Arabidopsis thaliana: one gene and its partners. The protein of the gene in region 3 interacts with the protein of the main gene of each other region in a pairwise test. Each region holds a gene or a part of one and is shown on either strand. Other genes may lie near its edges.

Region 1 (4,529 bases), on a different chromosome or scaffold from region 3:
GCGACGAGCATCTTATAAAACTTCCCCAAAACTTTTCGCATTCAACTTACCCTCAGCTTCAAGAAACCATTCCTCATTGAAGCAGAGGACATTAAACAAGTTTGTTATTAGTTCCTCTCCATGAGGCTTCGTCAAAATGATCAATTTTGTTCTTTAGTTTTTCCTTGTGTTAGTGAATTGTGACATCATAGCGGCTGGCCAGCTCAGTCTACTATGCTCGATCGAAATTTCGGTTTGATTAGGATTTTTCGATTAGTAAATTCTTCAAAAATTAATCTTATTTTAGCCAACTAATATGTAATTTATTCTTTGTTGGGTAATTAGATGAATAATAATTGGTCTTCTTTCTCACATTTTAGTGGATGAAAAGTTTCCTCATTGTTTTCTTCTTTATTCATCACAAATGAAAAGTTTCCTGATGTTGCATGAGAAAAATATGAGGTGAATGATTTGGGATGTGTGCCATTCGTTAGAGATTGGTATGTGGTGGATGATGTTTAGTTTTGATCTATCAGGTCAAACCAACACGTGCCGTGCCCGGCTTTTAAGTTCTATGGACAAAAGTATTGCCCCACTAGGCAAATGATTGTGACTCCGGATCTTGTGCTTTCCTTTGACAAATTCCAAATTCTACATATTCAACAATTTTGCTTAAAACTTTAAAGTTTGATCTTTCTAGAATTGAATTTTATTATTTAAAAAATATACGATACAGTTACACATTAATAACAAGATAGAGAATCTTGGCGTTAACAATAAAAGAGATAAACGTAGCAATTAATACAAAGGCCATATACGTAAGGTGTGGTGAAAGTTGTTACATTCATTTGAAAATACTCCATCAACTCCACCCATGTTTTCTTTTCTCTTATCAAGTGCTACCGATTCTCACGGTCTTTAGAAATGAACCACTTTTAGTGATTTCTCGCAATGGTTTATCGGTATATCTAACTGTGTTATAAACCCATGCACCCGCAATCGCACCAAGAGTTGGCGCAACTAAGTATATCCAAATTCCTTTGTAGCAACCATAGACCAGTGCAGGTCCTAAACTTCTTCCTGGATTCATCGACGCACTCGATACCGGTCTAATAAAATTGATGAACATAACCGTATAAATCATTTTTTGGAATTCTTACTCTAAAAAAAAAAAGTATAAGCACAATAATAGAAATGGTAACTGATAACTTACGCGGCAATTAGCACGTTAAGTAGCACCGTTGATCCTATTGCTAATCCAGCAAGTTCTCCGATCTGAATATTGCAGCATTTGGTCCCAATGTTAAGTTTCTCGTAAATTTAAAGACCACAGAAAACAAATGTAACTTCTGAGAGGGAGCAGTAATTAATAACACTAATATAAGCCATCGAATTTGACAACATAAGAAGATATGAAAATACTAACCGCTCTATTATCGGTAGCAACGCCAGAAATGATGAACATTAGATAGAAAGTGACGATAAACTCCATCGTAAACGCCTGAAGATCTGATCCCACTGGTGATGATCCGATAAACACATCGTGTTTTCCGCTACAAACGTCGTGATCAAGTCCGAACAACAACCGTAATGTCGCAGCCGCGAGCGTTGATCCTATCACTTGTGATATGACATAAGCTGGAACCTAAAAAAATTCAAAGAACAAAAATAAAATAAATTAATTCACCAGTTCACACTAACTAGGGAAGGGACCCAATCTTGGAAGATATTTTGACGTTTATATAACAAAATATGGACGTGTGGAAAAACTATATACATACAAAAGTTACATAACATTTTAATTTATTTTGGAAACTAGCAAAAGTAGATTTGTCCTTACGTATCTTCACTCATCTATAGTAAACGTTGCATTAAAAACGCTACGTATTTGAATAACCCAAAGTCTCGTGTGCAATACAAGCAACCGATAGCTAAACTAGATCAATGGAAACAAAATACACTAATGTTCTTTAATTAGTTTGTTCATGAAACTCAAAAACACACATAAAATACAAAACTTGATCGATCATTATATAAAGGCTATATGTAATTGTGTATGTGTTAAGGACCTGTTTGAGAGGGAAACGGCCACAAGAGGCGAAGGCAATGGTAACGGCCGGATTGATATGAGCACCAGAGATGTGACCAAGAGAGTAAATGAGGACCATAATGGTGAGTCCCCAAACGATAGCGATCCCTGGAAGAGTCACGACATTGTCGTTTTGCATGTTTACAACCACCGATGCACAACCGGTGAATACCAAAAAGTAGGTTCCAAGAAACTCCGCGATCAACTGAAAACATAGCGTAAATAAAACCGAGATGTCTTGTGAATTGGTACAAAACAGAGTCTTTTCATTTATAACTTGTAAAACATGTTGGATATGGAGAGTTAAAAGTAAAAACCTTTTGTAAGAAAGGGACAGAGACTGAGAGTAGAGAGTCTTGTTTCTTCAAGGGTCTTGGGTTATGAATGTCTTCCATTTCTTGTTGATGTTCGACTTCATCCTTGAGATTCACCATTACTACTTCTTCTCTGGCGTTGCCATAGCCGTTTCCCGAGATATCCGCCATAAGTGACTTTTCTCTTTTTAGAAACAAAGAAGAGGAAAAGGATTGAACTATAAACGACTGTTTATGACTTGTGAGAATGAGAAGTTTGGTAGCGATTATCTCCTATTTATTGGCAAACATGGGGGAGAGAGAGACTTCTTTGACGATTTTAATATTACCAGTTTATTAATTGAAAAAAAGAAGAAGATGATATATTGTTAATAAAGCTTTTTTAATAATAATAAATTCCTATGTTTGTGGAGATTCTATACCAGGTCTCAAATTCAATTTTCAGGGATTACAATTTTTTCTTAGATCAACAAATATAAAATTTATCGAAAATTTTAGAATGCTACATGCAGAATTTGTTTGTTTTGATCTTGTGTGTTGTGCAGAGAGCCTATATCATTCGTGCATGTCGTACATGCATAACCATCCGCGCCTAGGATTCAAATGTTGCATACTTGCAATCTACTTTTTGTTTTTAAATTTTTATTCTACTTTCCAAATATTCATTTATAATCACATAAGTATATATACGTCATTTTATGCGTTGTTTGTATTTCACATAAGTATTCATTTAGAACATCTCATATCGAATTCTGAATTTCGGATATAAAGTCACCGGTCATATGTTGTTACACCCAAATTTGTTCGTATCATATAAACAAAACAAAATTATGTCATGCAAACTATAGAATAAACTATATCATTTATGAGAAATTGAAAAATGTCACTAGATGGAATTGATGATGGCCTCTTTAAGTCTTCAACTACCAAGCGGGTAATACGGACATACTTTATTTAGCTTATAGTTGTGCATGTGTACATATGTACACAACATTATAAAAATTACTAAAAAATTTCAAGATATTTTATATATACCTTGATGCCAACGTAACAATCTTGATTGCGATCCGTAAACTTAATGTAGTGTACTGTTTGGATCCGATCATATCAACCTCAGGTTTGAATCCATACTAACATATAACTAAATGTTAATTATGATCAGAATGTTTTATTTGCGACAATACTCAAAATGTCATCTCTAGATTAGGTTAAGTTCGAACCCTCTTTAATGGATGTTAGAATGTAGGGTTGTGGCCACGGGCCACCAGAGAAAAAATGAAGTTTCTTTATAATGTACAATTTGAATTATCAGTAAATTAGCAATGTTAATTCCACATGTAAACACGTATGCTGGTTAATGGTGACAAGACAAATCTTAAAGACTTTCATGTTACGTATCGATCCAGATGTGCATGATGTATGGTGCCAAAAAAATAGGAGGAGTGAATATGAATTGAAATTGAGAACATACATATATGCAAAGGGAAGGTAAATAAAGAATATTTCAGAAAGAAAAAGAAACATTGATGTAAATGTAGGAGTATCAAAGTCGATCAAAATTAGTAGATCATTGACTTAACTCAACCAATGAATTGACTATCATTTTATATTATTTTAATAAGTTGATGAAATAAATGAGTTGAATGGACTGATGAATTATGGGGGCTACTTAATGTTTCCACCACGACACTCGGATTCAATTCATTAACTTTTTTACATCATCATAACTTTATTATAATCGATGATATCAAACCCATCATGATATAATCATACACCATCATATTCATCATCATCAACATCATTTCATCAGCATGACTTCCGAAGCTATTATACGTGTGCTAGATCTATATCTTTGTACGATGTGAGAGTGTTACGAGTAGTATGTGTGCATAAAGTAAATGAGACATAAATTTGTTAACGGGTCTGTTCACAACTTACATGTCAAAAATTTCTACCAAAACTATGTAACTTTTTTTATTATGACGCTCCACAATTTCTCGCTACAATGTTATTCCGTAATTTTATATTTTTAATTGCAATATATCTGGTTTACGTATCAAAGATAATGCAAAGGAAAATTTTATATAGATATTATCTTCATCTAAAATGGTTTATCAGTATATGTATTAATGTTAAAACACATTATC
Region 2 (4,951 bases), on a different chromosome or scaffold from region 3:
CGTGCGAGGGTAGTTATGTAAAATTAACAGTGGGAAGCGGGTTGCACCGAACCAAGCCCATGTAGCTAAACACTCACACGCGCGACGCATGTCTGAAAAGTGGTAATTGAATTTTGTTTAGAATGATTCTACAGAGGTTGAATTTGGTAAATGAATCAGAGGAATATTAAGCATTTGAGCATAATTTCCAATTTGGTCAGATTATGATATATGTAAATATGTCCATGATTCATTTTCTGTTTTTGGGTTCTCTTTGTTCATTTATTAAGTCATGGGCTGAAGTTTTCATATTTTAAGTCATGGGCTGAGTTCTCAAGGACTAAAACTGGTATTGATATTATGATCTGTTAAAAGCCAATTCATTTAAGGTGTTCAAAATCTAAACTGAATAATTGCGTTAAATTAAGCCGGACATGTTTCAATCAAAAGTCAATAGAATGTGTCAAAATACTCTGGGTACTTGGGTAGTATTAGTAACATTAACTTACAAGGATTTTTCTCTATATAAAAATACAGAGTACTAGTTTTGATTTTATCTGAGTGAGAACTTTCTAATAAAACTCTAATCGAAAACAATTAATATTTTGTATAAAATGGAGTGTAGAACCTAAATATTTTGTATTGCTTGGATATATAGTTTTTTTTCTTCTTAACATGGATATATAAGTTCTATTTCGTACATATTTCCCCTAATTTTAATGTTGAATTTTGGAAAACTTTTGTTGGATAGTGACATGAAGACCCTAATTTTAATCATAACATTTTGGAAAACTTGATTGGGTGAGTGATATGGAGGTGATGTTAACGTATGTTTGGTATCAATAGTTGGTCCAATTAGGCCCAAAGAGTCAAAAAAGGTGCCCAAGTGTTGTCAAAAGAGAAAACAATTAAGAATAGGGCAAAGCTTGGCCAGCAAGATTTAGTGGTCATTTCCTAGAAACGTGTCCAAGAATTTATAAAGATGGGTTGTCTTATAAATACATATCGTTCACGTAATTACCTGAGATCAAATCTTAATCATATCATTCATCGTATATAGACTCCAAACACGTTTTTCAAACTCCTATGATCATGTGTTCTCTCTTTGCCTCCGTCTTTGATTGCTTTGTTCCAAAATCAGACTCAAAGATTAGCTCAACTGATGAGAGTGACTTGAAAGTCCTGTCCTCAAAGAAACCAAAAAGCAAATCCCCGAGAGCTCCGATTATGGTGTCTTACTTTCCCGCCGGTTCAAACCTTTCGCGTCTATAAGTGCCAAATAGAAGAGAAGAGAAGATGAAGTATTGGGATGTTGATTTTGATATAAACGAAAGAAGTTTTTGGTTGTAGACATGTTGTATGCGCAGGCTTTAATTTTATGTTTTATTTAATTATGTACAAATAGACCATTTAGATTGATAGCATCATATATATGCTTTGTATTTAAGACCAAATAAAAGATTAATGTTTATATACATGCGTAAAAATGTTAAGAGCTTAGTTAGTATCATTTTCAAAAACTGATTGTCACTTGAGCTTTTATTTTTCTTATTTTTTTAATTAAGAAAAGTTGTGGCCCTCAAAAAGTTACATGGAATCGGAACAGGAAAAAAAAAATGTCGAAAACTGATTAATCTAGGCAACGTTATCGCATTTTCATATCTTACAAATCCCTTTTTCAATTCAGATTTGGTAGAAATGCAAGGAGAGTTCCATAGTGTATATGTAAAATTTGTATAAAACGTCTAGAAGAATTACAATGCTGAATTTGTTGGAAGCTCTGTTTTTCTCTGCTTAGACGTTTCCAACGTGTTTTGGGTTTCTCTGATCACTGTAAAGCCTAAACCACAAGAGAAGAAAAACCACGAAGCTTTGGGCTTTAAGGCCTTTTTGGGCCCTAGCCACAATAATGGAAGCCTATCAAGAAAAGACAAGACAAGACAATAAGACAGAAGAGGACAAGTGTTTAAAGTGGAAGTTATCTTTCTCACGTGGTCTAAAGAAAGGTTAAAAAAAAAGAGGGAAAAAAAAAAGAAGATGAGAGAAAGCAAAGTGTTGAAGACTTTTTAGAAAGCAGAAAAAAAAGCAGAGAGTGTATTCAAAGTCGGAAAGAAACCCTAAAGAAGAGGATTATGGGTGCTGTATCGATGGAGTCGCTTCCTTTAGGTTTCAGATTCAGACCTACCGATGAAGAGCTCGTCAATCACTACCTCCGTCTCAAGATCAACGGACGTCACTCCGATGTCCGTGTCATCCCTGATATCGATGTCTGCAAATGGGAACCTTGGGATCTTCCTGGTTCGTCTCTTTATTCTCTCAAAATTTGATTCCTTTTATTCTCAGATTCTGTTTTCCCTCTCAAAGATTCCACCTTTTTTTTCTTTACTCAATTGGAAACAAATCTGATTGTCGGCAGCTCTCTCGGTGATTAAGACGGATGATCCAGAGTGGTTCTTTTTCTGCCCTCGTGATCGGAAATACCCTAATGGTCATCGCTCTAACAGAGCAACTGACTCTGGCTATTGGAAAGCTACTGGTAAAGATCGTAGCATCAAGTCTAAGAAGACTTTAATCGGTATGAAGAAGACTCTTGTCTTCTATCGTGGACGAGCTCCTAAAGGTGAGCGGACTAATTGGATTATGCACGAGTATCGTCCCACTCTTAAGGATCTTGATGGCACTTCCCCTGGCCAAAGCCCTTACGTTCTTTGTCGCCTCTTCCACAAGCCTGATGATCGGGTTAATGGTGTCAAGTCCGATGAAGCAGCTTTTACGGCCAGCAACAAATACTCACCTGATGATACATCATCTGATCTTGTTCAAGAAACACCTTCCTCTGATGCTGCTGTTGAGAAACCATCAGATTATTCAGGTGGATGCGGTTATGCTCATAGTAATAGTACCGCAGATGGGACAATGATTGAGGTATGAATGGAAACTCTTGAATAATTAATTAGGCTTTTTTGAGTGACTTGACTAATTTTGAGTTTTGTGTTCATAGGCACCTGAAGAGAATCTTTGGTTATCTTGTGACCTTGAAGATCAAAAGGCACCACTACCGTGTATGGATTCTATATATGCTGGTGATTTCAGTTACGATGAGATTGGATTCCAATTTCAAGATGGTACCAGCGAACCAGATGTATCACTAACAGAATTGTTGGAGGAGGTGTTCAATAACCCTGATGACTTCTCTTGCGAGGAATCGATCAGTCGAGAGAATCCAGCAGTCTCACCAAATGGGATATTTTCATCTGCTAAAATGCTGCAGTCTGCAGCACCAGAGGATGCTTTCTTCAACGACTTCATGGCTTTCACTGATACAGATGCTGAGATGGCGCAATTGCAGGTGAGCACAAAGATACATATTTTGAGGCCTATACAATTTTAGAAGTATCCAAATTATTTTGCTTTAAGTAGGCTAGAAACCTCTAGATCAGTTATCTTTACAATCACTCTTGACATAAGTAAAATGACAATTTTTATCTTTTGTTTGATCAGTATGGTTCAGAAGGTGGAGCTTCTGGTTGGCCAAGTGACACTAATTCATACTATAGTGATTTGGTTCAGCAAGAGCAAATGATCAATCATAACACAGAGAACAACCTCACAGAAGGGAGAGGGATAAAGATCCGGGCTCGACAGCCTCAGAACCGGCAGAGTACAGGATTGATAAACCAGGGTATTGCTCCAAGGAGAATCCGTCTGCAGCTGCAGTCTAACTCTGAAGTAAAAGAACGAGAGGAGGTGAATGAAGGACACACTGTTATTCCCGAGGTACGAGACTAGTGATTCCAAAAGTTGTGTCTTAGACATCAATAACATAAAGGATGCATCTTTTTAATTTGTTGTTAATGGTGGGGATGTGCAGGCCAAAGAAGCTGCAGCTAAATACTCAGAGAAGAGTGGTTCTTTGGTTAAACCTCAAATAAAGCTCAGGGCGCGGGGAACTATAGGCCAAGTAAAAGGAGAGAGATTTGCAGACGACGAGGTAAGAATGAGTGAACTTGTTTACACATGAATGAAGAAAGAGTATAGTAGTAAGCTCTACTAAATACTATAGAATTAGAAAGAAAAAAAAGAGAAAGCAATCAGTAGAGCATGTGAGATCAGCTAGTAATGATAAAAGAAACTGAGAAGTATCTTTGTCTAAAGAGAAGTTTGTTGTGGTTACAGGTACAGGTGCAGAGCAGAAAGAGACGAGGAGGGAAGCGATGGAAGGTGGTTGCAACGGTAATGGTGGCTGTGATGGTTGGGGTAGGGATGGGTATATGGAGGACACTGGTGAGTTCATGACACATGAGACACAAAGAGAGAGAGAGAGAGAATCAAATGTAGTTTAATGTAATTAGGGATGATGCAATGTTAGCATGTTTGTGTGTTGTAACTTAAAAACTTATTTAGGAATCTGATAAAAGTTACTGTTGAATTTACACGGATGGTCAAGATTAAATGTACCAACATCTTAATTATCTACGGTCAAGATTAAAAATACCAACATCTTAAATTAACACCGCATCAAAGAATTATCTCAATCGTCGTCTCTCCCCAATTCAAAAAAAGAAATAACCTAAACGTGTTCACACAGAGGTAAGCTCGCTCCTACTCGCCGCCTCATCTGAGTCAACTCCGAGTCAGCTATTTTTCCCCACCGGATTCTCACTTTTGTTCCTCTCTGTGACAGATCTCGAGATGAAAGATAACCAAACGGAAGTTGAATCGAGGAGCACTGATGATAGGTATCTTTATATTTATCCGTAATCTCGATTCTTAGATTCAATTTGTTTCCGTAGTTTTGAAATCGTCTTTTATGATTCTCAGATTGAAAGTTAGAGGGAACAAAGTTGGAAAGAAAACAAAGGATCCAAACAGGCCTAAGAAACCACCAAGTCCTTTCTTCGTCTTCCTGTAAATAAAAATCACTAATCTCTCTTCTTCTTTTTTCTTCACTAATTTGATTACAGTAATTAAT
Region 3 (4,645 bases):
TTCTTGTGGATGAAACCGCAGAGATTGGTGAAGGATGTTTGATTGGCCCTAACGTTGCTATAGGCCCTGGCTGTGTTGTTGAGTCCGGGGTTAGACTATCGCACTGCACGGTAATGCGTGGGGTACACGTGAAGAGATATGCGTGTATCTCGAGTAGTATCATTGGGTGGCACTCGACGGTCGGACAATGGGCTCGGGTCGAGAACATGTCCATACTTGGGAAAAATGTTTACGTGTGCGATGAGATATATTGTAATGGAGGGGTTGTGTTGCATAACAAAGAGATCAAATCAGACATCTTGAAACCAGATATAGTGATGTGATGACAATTTGGTTGATTTGTCCGTATTTTTCATTTTTTTGTGCGAATACGATTTCTAATTTAAAGTCATGAAAAAGTAAAATTTTCAATGTTTTATAAGAGTCTAGCTCCTAGTAAGCCTTTCGACAAGTTTCCTAAGAATATCAAAGACGCTCTTGAGATTGAAGGTTATATTAGTGATGTGTCAATCTTGACATATGATGCTGGGAATATATGTTGTTTGAAGTTAGATCTAATTAATTTATGTGTGTCTCTTGAGTTAAAAGATGTTTGATCTAAGTGAAATCATGAGAAGAGGTCGTGATCTTGTTCCTCCTTTTTGTACGTGCCATGGCCTTGGTCGTGATTCTGAATTTTTCTTAGGTACATTGCTGACAATTGAAGGTCAGGATGTAGCAAATCAATGTATCATGCGATTTGGATTACTTAAGAAGTAAAAGAGATATCAGTCTCAGCGAGCAGATAAAACTTTTGTTCAAAATGATCCACAGAGCAGACGTACGATTTAATCTTTCAATTAATCATACAAATACTAGGAAATGAGAAATCATTAGCAGAGATTATAAAACCTAGGGCATTGATGGGAAAGGGATTAAAACAGCAAAACACTAAACAGAGTTTAAGAGAACAAAAACCAAAGTCTTTTGGACAGAAGAGATTATAAAAGTGAAAACCACACGCCCTAGCATAGCCTTCCCCGCGGTAAGCTCCCAAGCAGTGGGAGGAGCCCTGGGCACCCTTCTCCACAATATGGACAAGGAGTATCGTCGCCCTCGTCATCTTCTTCGGATCTGAAAGTCTCTTGTTTGACACGAGATATTAGGCTACGTAATTGGATCCAATAGGCTTTCCCAAAACCATACAGTGTTTACATACGGAATTTGCGGCGCTTCTGGTGACCAGTCATTAGCCACAACTAAGATAACATTGTAACTCATAAACATCCAACAAACTAAGATGTTCTTCGAACTTGGTCTCTCCTGGGATGCTTTTGGCGATTACCATCAGATTTGTAGATGTATAATGGGGAGCAGGATTTTCCACTGACCAAAATGCAATTTCCACTAACATCTTGTTTAGTCTCTCACTCTTACCCCCTAAAAAAATGTATATATCAGTTATCAACTAACATGTAAAATTGCACTGCACATACATATATATATATATATATATATATAATATGTAATAAAAAAGAACTAGGGTTTAAGTAAAGGACAATCACTTTTGGGTTCGAAGTCGATTACATCATCCAGACTGTCAGGTTTCTTCTCACCATAAGCAGTGATTGACACCTCACCATGATAACCTACAAATCACAGAGATCGAGATCTCTGGGCATGGTGGTTTCGACGGAGATCGAGAAAACAGAAAATTAGATTTAGAAGTAAGAGGCCTATCAATGTTTTACATTTAAGCACAGTAAACATTTAAAGCCCAGCCTAGCCCATTAAGAGGTAAATCTAATTTGCTACGAATTCGGTTGTTAATTATTAAACCATCGGTTTAGTTCATCAAACGCAAACCAAAGCCAATAACCGAATAATTTCTCGAGAAAAAATAATGACTTTCCGGTGAAGATTTTTTTTTACGACGGCTTCTCCTGACAACGGAAGGTGTTGAGAAAGTGGCGGAATTTGATTTTGTTTCCTCTCCTCTCCTATCTAAACAAGGTCTGTTTTCGTGAGATCCAGATATTCAATTTGGATTCAAAATCGTGAATTGGGTTTTGGATTGATTTCTGTTACTGGTCTGTGTGCTTTGATCTGAATGTTGTTTCATTCTCTAGTTGTCAGATTTACTGATGATGGGAATAAGCAAAACGGAGATCAATTTGCGGAGATTGCTTTCCGCTGCACCTAACCAGCAAAATCAGTCGAAGCTTATGCATGTACGTTTCTTTTGATCTTCATTATATGTAAACTATTAGTCTCGTGTTTATGTTGATGTATGAAACAAAAAATCTGCAGTATGTTGCTACATTGAGGGAACAATTAGAACAACTCTCCGAAGAAAAAACCCCTGAAGGCCTTCCCAGGTTTACTTACTCTCTTGTTGATTCACCATTGCCATTAAAAAGATTCCTGCTTTTTGGTGTCTCTTTCTAGGATCAAGGGTTAGAGATTTGAACTGGATTGCTTCGTATTATAGTTGTTGTTCTAAAAGTACATGTTTTTTGGTGAAATACCCTTGCAACCATTATGAGAATGTGCTTATTTTCTCCTTTGATCTCTTTGTCCAGAGTTACAAAGGCTAAGGTTAATGAGTACTATGAGAAGATTGAAGCTGTTGCTTCCAAGATAGCTTCTCAAGAGGTAAGTCACCTGAACTAGAAAGGGACACTTCTTTTCACTTGTCTAGCTAGGACATTAGGCTCTTGTTGATATGATACTTTGTTAGTTACTTCCCCAATTTTTACTAGATGTATTGGTCTCAGGAATTAGTTTCAGGAACGCACATTTTGGTTGGTTCCTGCGTAGAACCATTGTTTAGCTGCAAGAATTTTCAAGTTTTACTTCTGTAACTTATACCAAATTTTTGATTTTTGCTAAATTTACAGCCTGAGACAGAGGTATCTGATGAACCCTTTGCAAAAGATTCGACTAGTGGAAGCTCACCAAAAATAGAAGATGAGCCTCGAAGCCCCACTTCGCCACAGCTGAGAAGAAGAATCGTGTACGTGGAATACTAGATTCACATCCTTCTCAAGTTGTAGTAAATTCTTTCTTTTAGTACTTATCAACTTCCTTGATTGAGTTAGCCCTGCAAGTTCCAAGGAGCAAAGCTTTGATGCTGCTGATGCTGATTCATCAAAACCAATAAAACTAGACACCGCAGCTCAAGCGCACATTGACAAGCACAGGTAGATGCATTGATCACCAAGAAGAACTAGGAACTCATTTCTATCTATGCACTTTCGTTAGTAGAGAGAAAAATTTATCGCAAAGAGTAGAGCTTTATTGATTTTAATATAAGTTCAATTTTGCCACTTCATGCCAAGTTGGTGATTCATTTGATGACAGAAAGCTTCAAGAGGATCTAACCGATGAAATGGTGGTACTTGCAAGACAACTCAAGGAGAGAAGTCAAGCGATTAGTCAATCTGTGCAAAATACAGAAAAGGTGAGATGCTAACCATTTCCTCACAAAACCAATTATTCTTACTTTTTTAATCAACAACTATGTAACAAGAGAAGAATCTATATTGGTTCATATATCCTTTTAACCGGCTTCATTGCTCCTAACATTTTTCTTTCTTTCTTTTCTTGTGGATTCATTAACAAAAGATACTTGACTCTACCGAGGAGGCCATTGAGCAAAGCCTAGCGAGCACAGGACACGCGACAACAAGAGCGACAAAGATATATTCACAAAGCTCAAAGACAAGTTGCTTCCAGTGGCTCTTGATCTTCGCCATGATCTGTGTGTTCATAATGGTTGTTCTGTTGATCCGGGTCACATAGAAATTGTTCAGATTGTAATACCAAATTAGTGAAATCCAAAAAACATTTCAGTCTCTTTATCATACAGTTTGTGAAAGTTCTTTTGACTTTTGTAAATTCTGAGTTTTTGATATGTGAAACTATACTTCTAAAAGATATGCCAGAAATCAGTACAATTTGTTTGTGAAGAGGAATTGAGAAATGAAGAATTGTAATTTAACCGGTTTGGTTTGAAGACCGGTATGATTTGGTTAGTATAGTTTGTCTTCTTCGTACACTTAAAAGTTAAAACCCTAAGGAAAGGCCAAAACCCAGAGACTGAGAGAATCCATTTTCTTTTAATCGCCATGGGTTTCGCTTTGTGCATTCGTAGATCAGCTTCTACTTTAGCTTCCGTGTGTGGTCGTGTGGCTCGAGCTCAAGCCGTCTCCGCTATCGTTAATCGCTCGTCTCTTGTTCCCAAGCCATCTCTGCTTCGGCCCTTCGTCTCTCGTGGCTTTCCTTATTCGACGGCCACTGAGCCGTTAAAGTCCGATCAGACGCTTATACAAGTGATTGACTCTGAGATCAAGGATTCTTTCGAAGCAGATGATCACGATGCGGTAATAACTGATCTTTATCACTTGATTCCTGGGAAAATAAACGAATCTGTGGGATTTGTTTTTTTCTTGGTTTTTGATAGAGAATTGTAGAAGCAGTGTTGAAAATTGGACTGAATCTGTGAGTTTGCTTACTCTGTGGAAGCCATAAGCTTTAGTGGGAACTCATGGTTGAATCTAACTGGAGACTTTCTATGCCTTAAATCGCATTTCTTTCAGAATTTGTTGAGTAAAAGTTCATACATTTCGGAATTTGATCATGAACCTGTTTTGATTCTGAGCTC
Region 4 (4,192 bases), about 17 Mb from region 3:
TCAAATCCAAAAAAAAACAAAAAAAAACAGAAAAAAACAGAGAATCAGAAATACAAAATAATTCACAAATAAGAACAGATTGAGAATCATCTATTTTACCCCAAACTAAACCTCAACACTTCGAATCGATTTCGTCTTCAAATACAACCGGATCACATCAAATCAACAACAATAACAAAAAAAAAAAAGAACATCAAAACGATCAAGAAAACAAATTCGATTAGCTTAAGAAACACAAATTTCATAAGCAAAAGAGCACCTTTAATCGGAGAAGATTCGAGAGAGAAAGAGGTGGAGATGGAACCTAACCTCACTTTGTTGATCGATCGTGGATCAATTTCTTTACTCCATTTTCTTTGATTTACTTCTTTTTATATTTCTTTCTTTTAAATTTTTTAATTTTAACATTCAGGCTTCGAAGCTCAGGAAGCTGACACGTGTAAAATGTTTGACAATGGTGGATCCCATACCTGTAGAGTTATCTGATCTTCTTATTAGCCAGCCGGTCAATATTAGTCAACGATTCTTACGAAATAAGAAAACCATACTTTTGATTTGTGAAATAATTTTGATTCAAACTTGTTTTAAGTCTTACATTTTTAGACATTGAGTTAATGAACTCTCAATCTACTTGTATAATTTTGACAGATATGATGATTCTCTTATTAACCAAGGTATTGACAAATACATGGACAAGGTATTGTTTAGTAAGGAAATACACAAAATCTACATGAATGAATAATATTCTCAAAACATTCATTTAGCAAACCATAATCCATATTGTTCTAACAACAAACAAGGTAAAATAAGAAAATGCTTGAGTGATTTAGTCACTCACGCTTCTTTAATCCAAACTTTCCACTTGGGATTCTACTGAGAAACCCAGTATCAAGCTTCTTGTAATGACTATGAAACTTCATGATCATAGAATCCATAAAACCATCCACTTCGTCTTCGTATCTCTCATACAGAACCGGCATTGTGTGTGCCCCAACAAACCCTTCACACACACACATAAAATGCATCCCTTTAAAGTCTTGTATTACTCAACTTCCAATCTCAAAAGAGGATACACTAATAAGAACCACTCACCGATATACAAAACAGTTAGGAAATTGCAACAGCTCCCGACCATTGCAGCTACCCATAGTCCGATTACAGCCTGAAAAATGATATTGTGATCAAAGTTTCTATCTTAGCATAGTAATGAAAGTGCTAATACATTATACAAACAAGATTGTGGTTATTGAAACAAACAACGCACCATGAGGAACTGTTTCAAATTCCCTTTACAAGCCAAGTCCTGAAGAAACAACAAACCGCGGTTAACTTCTTTTCCAACGGCCACACCGACTTCAGCAAAGAAATCCTTTGGAAGAACTAGGCGAGGCACTCTAGACTGTGAGCTGCTTTGAGACATTAAAGGACATTGTGTTAGATTGCAATCACAAGGTACCAATAATAATGACAACAACACTCCAACAAGTTACCGGTTTAAGAATCCAGAGGCGTTAGACCAAACGAATTGTGCAATCATACCAAGCAAGAGGGCATAGCAAACGAGAGACAGGAAATGGAAATTGATCCATTCAAAAAGCACCCAAATTGCGGTAGCTCCCATCAAAACACTTGCAGAGATCTTCTTGTTCCTCCATAACAACACATCAGCAGCTGAAGGAATCTCTCAATACTCAATTACAAGAAAAACCAATCTCATATTTATGTTCCTGTATACGAATTCTTACATTTGCCACCGCCTAAGACATGATGAATTGGCTTCTGGCGATCAAACAAACGGTTGAAACGAGAACTGACGGAATCTTCTTGTTCGAAGAAGGAGGAACCATGTTTGTTCTTCTGAACAGTCTCCGTGAAGTTATCCACCAAATCACCGATAACGTCCTCTACGATGTTCTTGTCAGGCATGATTCTGAAACACAATCGAAATCTGAGATTGCTCAATTTGCAGATGAAAGTTGACTTCATAAAAAATTGAATCTTTTGATCAGTTCTTCATACCCTAAACCCAAAACCATTTCGAGTAATCAAATTTGGTCTTAACAGTTCGTTGGTGATAATTACAATGATATAAAACTTAGATCTTAGTATATTTGGCGAGAAGACAAGAACAACAAAAAGACCAGAAATTGAAGAGCAAGAACGAGACAAAGATGAAGATGAGTAAGAGTAAACCTGTAGGAACTGGAGAAGAAGAAGAAGAAGAAAAACCTTGGTTGTTCTGTGAATTTCACCCAAAAAAAGTTGCTTTCTTTCGTTGAAGATTCTCTCAATCACGAAGAAAGATGGAGGGCGGAAGTGAAACAAGAGATGGGATTGGTTGTGTCGAATAATTGAATTACAAAAAAATGTTTTTTTCAAAATGTGGGCAAATGTTGGAGTAGTGTGTAGTAATAATGGATAGGACTTGTCTTCCCACGTGTAGCTCATGACAATAAACAAATTATTTTTTAAGAAGTATTATTGGACGCCAAAAAAAGAGTTGAAACGTATCGTTTGTATTTGCAAGACAAACAAAAAGAAGTTTTCTGAGTAGATTTATCAACCGTTACAAGCCTTGTTGAAAATAAAAAAATTTCATTTATTCAATGAATTAAAGTCACACTAATATGGTTGACTGGTTGTTACATGCGTGATGCGTTCATAACACTGCTTTAGGTTGTTCAGGAAGAACAAAAATCATGTTTAATTCACTATATACCTACCAAATCGAAAAATAAACTTGTTAATTATCGATCACTCTGCGATCGCTAGTAAAACATCAGTCAAAACTTAACCTCGAATACAATTAAAATCAATACAACAGGCAGAGAAGATATTCATTGCACAATAGTTACCTTCTCATCTTCCTTCTAATCATTAGTTTTAACTTCGTCGCATGCATGATTTTCAGGAATGCCAAATTGTTGAAGTCATAATATATAGTAAATACCTAGTGAATGCAAATTTCTCTTGTCTCTAGAAAAATTCTAGTTCCAATGGAAAGAAACGCCCAACAAAGAGCCTTGTGAATTGCTAAATTTTGACATTGAAAGAGATAATCCTAACAATGAATTTTGTCCTTTATAGGCCAGAAGAAGAACAAAATCCTGTTGGCCTGTGACTATATGATTTAACCTTGAAATGATGATGTCTCCCTTTGCATTTCACCAGAGTCGTTTCTTTGTTGTTTGTATATAGCTGAAGCAATAACTATAAGCTGTGTTATATGTCGAGATTCTCCAGATTCATCCTAGTCGCAGCACTTTTGATGAGTTCCTTCCTGACATCGACCTGAAACATACACAGAACATAACATTGTCACGATGAGTTATGCCAGTTTATTGACTATTATCATGAGTCCGAGTCTGGCAATTCATTGGCTTACCCGAGCACCCATCAGAGATGAGAAGACCATATTCGTTTCTGCTGCGTCGTCAACAACTAGTTGCTTCAATATCCTTGTATCTGGATTCATCGTTGTTTCCCATAGCTGCGCAGGCATCATCTCACCCAAACCTGCAGATGCAAAAGCAAGAAACATTACATAGAATCCAATAGTTGAGACTAATCTAGATTTCGTTATGCACACACTCAAGAGTATCTTAATAGCTAACACATAACAACTACTATACATTACTTTTCATAGTTATTTATCCTTTCCAAAAGAACACATTCATGATGTGAGAAGTAGGATGTTTTACCTTTGAACCTCTGAATGTTGTAGGATGCGTTTCCAGGGAACGAAGCAGTGATTTTTTTAAGAGCTGCATCATCGTAGCAGTAGTGCGCCTGTTTCCCCCTCTCAACCTGATCGTTTTCACAGAGAGACTAGCTTTAGAAAAAAATTCCGTTCAATCTGAAGCATAAGATTATAGATACTAAGAGCTTACCTTGAAAAGAGGTGGAACACCAACGTATATGCAACCCGCGTCAAACAAGGCTCTCTGTAGAAAGTAAATTTCATTAAATTTCACATAACTCAATCAGCAATCAAGGCTACTTCAACTAATGTTTTATCAAACTAAACTAGTACCTGATATCTGAAGAAAAAGGTCAACAGAAGTGTCCGGATATGTGCACCATCAACATCTGCATCTGTTAAGATGATAATTTTATGGTAACGCAGATTCTCCTTGTTAAAATCTTCTCCCTGAAATAAGTTTTATGTCAAACTGAGTTTTCCGAACATACC

Evidence for each region.
Region 1: the proteins of AT3G55600 (region 3) and NLM1 interact in a two-hybrid assay, tested with the Arabidopsis thaliana proteins (one large-scale study listed by BioGRID).
Region 2: the proteins of AT3G55600 (region 3) and NTL9 interact in a two-hybrid assay, tested with the Arabidopsis thaliana proteins (one large-scale study listed by BioGRID).
Region 4: the proteins of AT3G55600 (region 3) and AT3G10260 interact in a two-hybrid assay, tested with the Arabidopsis thaliana proteins (one large-scale study listed by BioGRID).

The regions. Positions count from the first base shown.
Region 1 is NC_003075.7:10,420,857-10,425,385, forward strand, and holds NLM1 (NOD26-like major intrinsic protein 1), read right to left. Parts: upstream 2,653-4,529; 5' UTR 2,554-2,652; coding exon 2,386-2,553; intron 2,274-2,385; coding exon 2,049-2,273; intron 1,625-2,048; coding exon 1,406-1,624; coding exon of another isoform or gene 1,355-1,405; exon of another isoform or gene 1,255-1,354; coding exon 1,193-1,254; coding exon of another isoform or gene 1,189-1,192; exon of another isoform or gene 1,089-1,188; coding exon 872-1,088; 3' UTR 665-871; downstream 1-664. Other genes in the region: CMT2 (chromomethylase 2), read left to right, coding at 1-80. UniProt on the Arabidopsis thaliana protein: Water channel probably required to promote glycerol permeability and water transport across cell membranes.
Region 2 is NC_003075.7:16,887,905-16,892,855, reverse strand, and holds NTL9 (NAC transcription factor-like 9), read left to right. Parts: upstream 1-2,054; 5' UTR 2,055-2,111; coding exon 2,112-2,277; intron 2,278-2,395; coding exon 2,396-2,904; intron 2,905-2,980; coding exon 2,981-3,328; intron 3,329-3,480; coding exon 3,481-3,756; intron 3,757-3,850; coding exon 3,851-3,970; intron 3,971-4,136; coding exon 4,137-4,322; 3' UTR 4,323-4,451; downstream 4,452-4,951. Other genes in the region: HMGB5 (high mobility group B5), read left to right, coding at 4,672-4,718, 4,801-4,887. UniProt on the Arabidopsis thaliana protein: Transcriptional activator activated by proteolytic cleavage through regulated intramembrane proteolysis (RIP). Calmodulin-regulated transcriptional repressor. Binds several synthetic promoters with randomly selected binding sites.
Region 3 is NC_003074.8:20,618,559-20,623,203, forward strand, and holds AT3G55600 (Membrane fusion protein Use1), read left to right. Parts: upstream 1-1,851; 5' UTR 1,852-1,992; exon of another isoform or gene 1,993-2,108; 5' UTR 2,109-2,123; coding exon 2,124-2,210; intron 2,211-2,289; coding exon 2,290-2,357; intron 2,358-2,561; coding exon 2,562-2,634; intron 2,635-2,879; coding exon 2,880-2,995; intron 2,996-3,080; coding exon 3,081-3,182; intron 3,183-3,342; coding exon 3,343-3,442; intron 3,443-3,606; coding exon 3,607-3,783; 3' UTR 3,784-3,997; downstream 3,998-4,645. Other genes in the region: AT3G55590 (Glucose-1-phosphate adenylyltransferase family protein), read left to right, coding at 1-323; AT3G55605 (Mitochondrial glycoprotein family protein), read left to right, coding at 4,110-4,364.
Region 4 is NC_003074.8:3,170,583-3,174,774, forward strand, and holds AT3G10260 (Reticulon family protein), read right to left. Parts: upstream 2,411-4,192; 5' UTR 1,987-2,410; coding exon 1,746-1,986; intron 1,672-1,745; coding exon 1,491-1,671; intron 1,407-1,490; coding exon 1,265-1,406; intron 1,163-1,264; coding exon 1,093-1,162; intron 1,001-1,092; coding exon 831-1,000; 3' UTR 640-830; downstream 1-639. Other genes in the region: GYRB1 (DNA gyrase subunit B), read right to left, coding at 3,223-3,291, 3,386-3,516, 3,702-3,807, 3,891-3,944, 4,034-4,150.